Linked DNA regions of Danio rerio. The protein of the gene in region 2 purifies or fractionates together with the protein of the main gene of each other region. This does not show direct contact. Links are inferred from orthologs where the notes say so. Each region holds a gene or a part of one and is shown on either strand. Other genes may lie near its edges.

Region 1 (3,657 bases), on a different chromosome or scaffold from region 2:
GATCTTTATCATTAGATACTCAGAATTTTGGTATCTGGATCGGTTCCAAAAAATGGTATCAGTGTATCCCTAATCATTCCAGCATCGATGATGCAATGTGCAAACCTGCAATAGTCTTAATTAATTCATTGACTAACTAATTAATACAAATGTGCTTTAATTAGATTTTTATTTCGTATATTTCTGGATAGTTTTGTAAATTTCATGCAGATGCACTTCCCTACAAACTCATCCCAATCAATCAATAAATGATGCATTATTTTCAAATAGTTACTTAAGTCATCTTGTGAAATTTTAATTATTAATCACAAAATAAAATTATTTATTAAAAAAAGTCATTTTCTTCCAATATTGTTTTCTAACTAGCCATACACACATCTTGCTGACATATATAGGTAATATATCATTCATGTAATGGTCAAATCAGGGAATGACAGCTAATAGTCTAGAACGGTGTTTCCCAACCCTGTTCTTAAAGGCACACCAGCAGTCCACATTTTCAAACTTTTCCCAACCAAACACATCTAAATCAATTCATCACATCATTAAAAGAGCCACCAAAACCTGAAATGAATTGTCAGATGAGAGAGACATCTAAATTATGTACTGTTGGTGTGCCTCCAGGAACCTGGTTGGAAAACACTGGATACGTTGAGACGAGTCAGACAGAAACTGTGGATAGCTGTGCCTCCATTTTCAAAAGTCCACATCAGTTTTCCAACACTGAAAGCCAGAACTAAAACGGGGTCTTCTGCATTTTCAAAACACTTTTGTGGGCTGGAGCATAAAACGTGTTTTAAAATGAGAATACACTAGTTTAAATGGCATTTTAGGTAATCCAAGGTAAATAGTGCTTTTGCACTGCATGGTATGGATAACTTTAGGGTTGTGTCTCTTTTTGGTAACACACTAGTTAAGGTTGCAATTGACTATTACCTATTCTAAAACATAATGTGTAAACACTGCAGATCAGTGATTGGTTAGAGAGAAGTCACTAGCTCCTAGACAATAGTAAATAATTATCAAACATTATCAAAACATTGTGACACAAACCTACTAGAATTAAATAAATAGCCATCATTTTAAATGAGAGTTGCATGCAAATGAAAATGCTTAATTCACTGTTATTAACCAAGTAGCAAAGTAGGAATGACGACAAGTCATGGCACAACTACAAGCATGTCTATAACCCCATGCACTTTGTGCTAAACCGCAGTGAAAAAGCAAACCGAGCAAACGGAAAGTGAACCAAAGAGACTGTTCCACAGAGTGTAAAACTGTCTTAAGTGTTGTGAAGTTACAAATCAAGAGCTCTGACCATTTTTTGGCAATGTAACTTCCTCCATTCCCGGCACAGGAGAGGGATCTTCAAGGTCCTTTGTTGAATCTTCATCCTGTTCGTCATCAATTGGTTGTCCACGCCGCCTCCACTGACTTCCAGGATTCCTTTTAGACAAAAATTCACAAATTAGACCACGCTGCAGCCTAAATTGTGAACTAAACTTTTTGTTTATGAAATTGCTTTTATTAAGCAGGGATGCAATAGTTAAATGTTTCAGAAAAGATTTTCATATTGTTACAATATTAAATATGTTGTTCAAAATGAATAAATTACAGTTTTAAGCAGAAATACAATTTTTTTTATATACGTTTATGTATATAGACAATATATTCAAAACAAAATTACTTTTGGAATCAAGACTAGCATAAAAAGTCAGTTTAATGTGACCTCTTTAGCTCTTTTAACTTGTTTGCTGTGTCTTCTAAAATGATGTGCTATTTAATAAAGCATCTCTCAGTGTTTTAAGAGTTCTTCTTTAGATTTAGAATGTCCTATCTGAATCTCACACTGCCTACACATACTGTATATAACATTCGGGTCTAGAGTGCCATTTCATAACTGTCTTTGTTTATCAGCTATCTTTCTCTCCAAATATGATTTAACTTGGGATCGTTATCATGCTGAAAAATAAAACTATAACAAATGATGTGCTTTCTATTTAGGAATTACATGACAACCTGAAATTAAAACCTGTCTGCACTTTTCAGCATTCACAATGCCAATTCAGGCATTATTGACAACAGCTCTGGCAGAAATGCAGATCCAACCAAGACAGAAACTCTACAGAATGCTATTTTTCATTCAGTCTTCCATCTTTCTCTAACTTCTTTCCCCTATTTGTCTATATGGGTGTATTTTAATAAAAAGAATGAGAAGCAATATATAATGCCATCATACCCTCACTAAAATATCTAATTTACCTGGGGGCCTAAGACTTTTGCACAGTACTGTATATTTTCACTCATTTTTAAGTTATAGCAATTTCATATTTGCACATTTAGGTGACTCCAGCATGATCATTACCCTTTCTTGCCCTTCTTGCGCGACTCCACAGGGGTGCTAGGTGGAGATGGAGAGCGTCTCCTCTTCTTGCCAGCAACCAGGGACTTGCGTTCCTTACGATCGGGTGTACGGGAAGACTGATCAGAACCACGGCGGGGTGAAGGATGAGAGAAAGAGCGAGAGAATGAGAGAATGGAACGGTTTTACACACAAGGGGGGAGGGGTGCTGAGGGGATTTTTGGGTGGGTGGGCGGGTGAGGGTGAGGTAGCAAGGAAGAGCTGTAGAGGATGATTGACAGACACACACAGACAATGACAGAACAAACCCTGCCAGGACCTCACACATCTGGCCTGACAACACAACAAAAATCTACTATATCTATTTTTTTTTTAGCACTCATGTATTTGAGTCTCTTACCACATCTTCCCCTGGGAAGATCCGCTGGCGGAAACTCACAGGCTTCTTGTTCTCATCTACTTCATAATCTTCCTCATTCATCCACTCGTTGAAAGCATCGGTGTCAATGACCCATTTAGCATGCACCTGAGGGGATCACAGAATGTACTGAGAAAACGCTGGAAAATTTTATCTGAAGGCTGATTTATACTTTCGCCTGGTGCTGCGTAATAGACTTCTGCTGACTGGGCATGCACCTCATGAAACTTGTCTTTCTTATAGTAATCTTAATAAACTAGCCCACGTACGGTGAACGATAGCCGTGCACAGTAGCACATAGGCGCGCAAAGAGGAAAAATAGACTGCTTGCATCAAAAAGGCGCTCGTATTATCACGCAATGATAAGAAATAAAATAGATCAAGCCACCAAACGCATGAAAACAAAAGTATTGACCGTGGTTTTAAAAATGTAAGGAGTAGAAATCACAGATCTTTGTGTAAACATGTCAGAAATTAAAGTAAAAAGTTGTCAAAAAATAAGTAGAGAATAAAGCACTGATACCAGAAAAATCTACTTAAGTACAGTAACAAAGTATTTGTACTTCGTTCCTTCCCATCTCTCCTCAAATTATATGCTAAAAAGGCAATAATGCTCCAACATTTCTGACCATTATCACCAATAAAACCTAGAAAAACAGGGCATCAGTATATTGTAAACTGATAGGTTCAAATATTCTTCTCCAGCTATCAAATAAATAATTTGTTGCTTCATTTTAGTTTTGTAACTATCAAATAGTTTTAAACTCAAAATTGTAATATATACATCAGAGTAAATACTATGAATGGTGGAAAAAAAAAAAACATCTGTAATTGTGTATTAAAACAACCTGGGTCCCCACTTTTGTCACAGCCCCTT
Region 2 (3,657 bases):
CAGGTTTGTAACTTACACTGATCCTATGAATGCAACATCAAACCAGAATGCCAGCCCATGTACAAGCCCTGAATGCATCATGTGGAATTTGAAGGGGATTTCTATCCTGGAAAGGACAAGAAAACAACAAAAAGTGGAGAGTGTATCTTATACTACACATCTTAAAAAGGCTGCAAGGTAAATCGGATTTTGGGTGTAAACGTACTTGTAAAGATCCTCTTCTTTAGCTTCTAAAAAGTTGACTGTGTATTTGACAGATTTAGCCATCAGGATCCTGATATCAAAAGTGTCCTGAAAGAAATCAGAGGATAAATGAGAGCAGGCAGAATAACCTTCAGCCCTGAATCTGGATCAGGAAGTGGGTCAAATCAAACACAACGACGTTCTGTGAGGCCTCCTGTCAAGGGCTGAGCCACAGCGAAGCAGACTCAGTCCTAGCTCAGAGGGCTCTCCTGCCTCCAGCTGAACTCTGAAAGACGCTACAACAGCGCCATCTAGAGCCAGACCGCGGCAGGTCACTGTCCCAGCAGTATAACACCGTTACAGGCACTGAAAATGCCTGAACAGCTGACTAATGCTGGGCATACAGCACACAAACAGACTGGAAACTACAACTGGGACATATTGAAATAAAAACTGGGGAATATGACAAAAAAAAAAAAAACTATCATGGCAAACAGGATACAAACAGAAACTCTGGTTTATGTAATAATTACATGAAAAACTCCAATGTAAATACAATAATAAACAGAAAACAGTGTAATAGTTCCCTACATTAACAATATAACAAATCATATCTCTCAACCCTGCCACAATGGCATAGCGCCGTAAATACTAGCATGTTAAATCCATGGTAAATCAATCGTTTATGGCATAGTGTTTCTCCTGTTCATCAGTGCCATTTCATATTCCTTTAAACTAAATAATATAAACATTTTCAAATTCAAAGTGCTGCCCTTTAATGTTTGCACGATCAATACGAGACATATCCGCATGTAAAACAAAGCTAAACACTCACACAAGTAATTCTGCTTTAAAGCATATTAAATTAGACCAAACATATTGAACATGCAATTGTTTAATCATGGAACATTTAGTTAATTATCATTACAGTTTCATCACCCAGCCCACCTGTAAACTATTTAAGAAAATCTGCAAAATAAAATTCACACAAAAAGCACAGTCGACAACTTGCAATAATTGGCTTCTCAAGAGGAAACAGCAACTCTTACACCAACGACCCCTGAAGCAAAATTACACGTGGACTTTCTGTACATACAAAGATATGCTTTTATATACTCTTCTAGATGGGCGAAAATTCATTGCATTCCCACCGACCATACAAAAACAGTAAGTTCGGAAACCCTGACCACAAAGTAAAGCCTTTCATCACGCACATAAAGGCGAGCTCACATACTTCACTTCAGTCTCCTATATACAACCACCACTGAATCTATTTTGCTAATCCATGAAGCAAACTGGCTTTCTCCTCTTCCTAGAAACATCCTCCCTTCTCATTTGAGCTTAAGTATGAAACTCAATCCTGTCCGTATTTACCCCCCCCCCCCCAATGCTCACTGCTTATCTATAACTGGTGTGGAGGCAAATCTCCAGTTACCTTCATACTTCACACACTATTTATCAGGGTAATCTTTCCCCTGAAGGCACAAACACAAGCTCGTGTGTTTTATGGCCTCCTGCCTTACCAACTTTCCAAACTGTAGCCAAGTCTAAAAAGCCAGCATGTCCTTTAACTAGCACACACCCAATCTGCTAGTCATTCCCTCCCATTTCTCACCACAATAGGCTGTCTGAAGTATTCATCTACTGCAGCTCCTCTCAGCGCAGACAAATCCACTCCGTGAAAAGACGGCTGGTACCTGAAAAACAAGAAAATTCTGTTTTTCAAGAGGAAACATTAAGTAAATCATCCTGAGTTGTCATCCTCAACAGTCTTAAATCACTGTTTATCTACACTTTTTGTCTATCATTTGAAATCTGCTACCGGTATGATGACACACTTATTTGCACACACTTCTTGTCGTACATGCTGTTCTTTACTCTCTCCCTCTCTCTCTCCCCACCCAGTGTCCATGTCCTCTTTAAGAAAGCTCACCAAAAATTGGCCTTTGTAAACTGCTCCATGTAAAGCTGCTCATCTGTGAACGGAGCGAGGTGAACGTCTCCAATGGTGGGAAACATTTTGCCTGTGAAGAGAGCAGAGGTGTAATATGTACAGATGTTTGTATATGTCAGTGTTTTTGAATAAGACTTTTTTCACTCACCACTGGGCTTGAGGAATTTCTTGGCGTGTAGGTAACTCTCCAGCATCCTTTCATTGAACAGCATGTAGCCCATGGGTTCGGATATGATAATGTCCACCTGCTCAGGTAAAGACACTTCCTCCACTTTCCCAGGAATCACCACAACACGCTCTGACAGCCTGTTACTGTTTACAAGAACCTGTGGATACACAATTATCATTAGTACCACCATATTGGCATAACCACCACTATTGTATCCAAATCAATTTTCCATGCATTCAAATAATTTATATACTAAAAACACGTTTGAAATGATGCAGTATTAAAATCATGAAATTGATAATCTATTTTCTGGATTCGTACTAGGGCTGTGCAATTATCTAATTGCCATTTTTTTTTTACAGATATTGCGATTTGAATTTGATTTGTTATTTATTTTGTAGTCAAGCTTCAGCTTAATAATCTGTATCATAGCTTCTTGCTGCTAAAATGCAGTGAGTGTTAGGCCGTACACAAACTATGCTATCTGAACCATGACCAGGCCCGTTTCTCTGATCGTTTGGGAAGTGTAAGTGCTCTGAATCGGGTTCAGGCTTGGTTCACTTGGCCAGCCCTGGCCCTGCTGGAAGAGGTGTGACAGAGCGCGGTTCACTTGGGCTCAGGCCCGGTACGCCTGTAGTGTGAGTGCAAAACATGACTGAACCCGAAACTGAAGACCAGACGCGAGTTTAAGGGACTGTTTCATATGGATTTATTAATCATTCTTACTGTTCAATGAACGCAAACTGTCATAGATTATTAAAGACGCAAGCCCCTCACTGCACCTTCTGCAAACCTCCTAATTCCTGCAGCACTAGGATTTTATGATCATTTATGAGTGTCAAAAGTGGCTGATCTGTTCAGCAAAATATTTGACTGCGTGTCACTGCATATTAAACAACTAAAATGATATAACGATATAAAGAAATCTCCACTGTGCTGAGCGAGAGCGCTTCTTTAACTGAACAGAGCATTATCCATGACGTACGCATGCTCAGGCCCGAATGTGATGCGAGTGCGGGCCGTCGGGGGAAACGGGAGGGGGAGATGAGTGTGCTTCGGCTCGGTTCAAGGCAACTGTACATAGAGTTTGTATGCCCTTAGTTAAAAAAAAAAAAAGGAACTGAAAAGATAGCAACTTATATTAGCAAACAACTCTAAAATTGTACTTAGCTTGATACTAGATTGTGTATCATTGACCGTAATTTTAGTTGACTTTTTAGCAAGACGCTTCTCATATAGATGCCCGTGGTACTTTTTTTAGGTGCTGGTTGTATTTCCTCGTTCTGTGGCAACAATTCTGCGACAACTCTTACAAATTACCTGGTTTTGTTTGGTGTCAGTGACTTTGAAA

What was found. Proteins that work in one complex are often made in the same cells at the same time.
Region 1: the proteins of carm1 (region 2) and smarcc1a purify together in Homo sapiens (affinity purification with western blotting; 3 studies listed by BioGRID and IntAct, with this or other methods). This does not show direct contact. The link is inferred for Danio rerio from reciprocal best matches to the Homo sapiens genes CARM1 and SMARCC1.

Annotation. Positions count from the first base shown.
Region 1 is NC_133191.1:46,877,877-46,881,533, forward strand, and holds part of smarcc1a (SWI/SNF complex subunit SMARCC1), read right to left. Parts: intron 2,889-3,657; coding exon 2,763-2,888; intron 2,482-2,762; coding exon 2,366-2,481; intron 1,447-2,365; coding exon 1,319-1,446; exon of another isoform or gene 1,239-1,318; intron 1-1,238. UniProt on the Homo sapiens protein: Involved in transcriptional activation and repression of select genes by chromatin remodeling (alteration of DNA-nucleosome topology).
Region 2 is NC_133178.1:33,009,347-33,013,003, reverse strand, and holds part of carm1 (histone-arginine methyltransferase CARM1), read right to left. Parts: intron 2,464-3,657; coding exon 2,286-2,463; intron 2,208-2,285; coding exon 2,117-2,207; intron 1,881-2,116; coding exon 1,799-1,880; intron 583-1,798; exon of another isoform or gene 385-582; intron 292-384; coding exon 206-291; intron 107-205; coding exon 17-106; intron 1-16. UniProt on the Homo sapiens protein: Methylates (mono- and asymmetric dimethylation) the guanidino nitrogens of arginyl residues in several proteins involved in DNA packaging, transcription regulation, pre-mRNA splicing, and mRNA stability.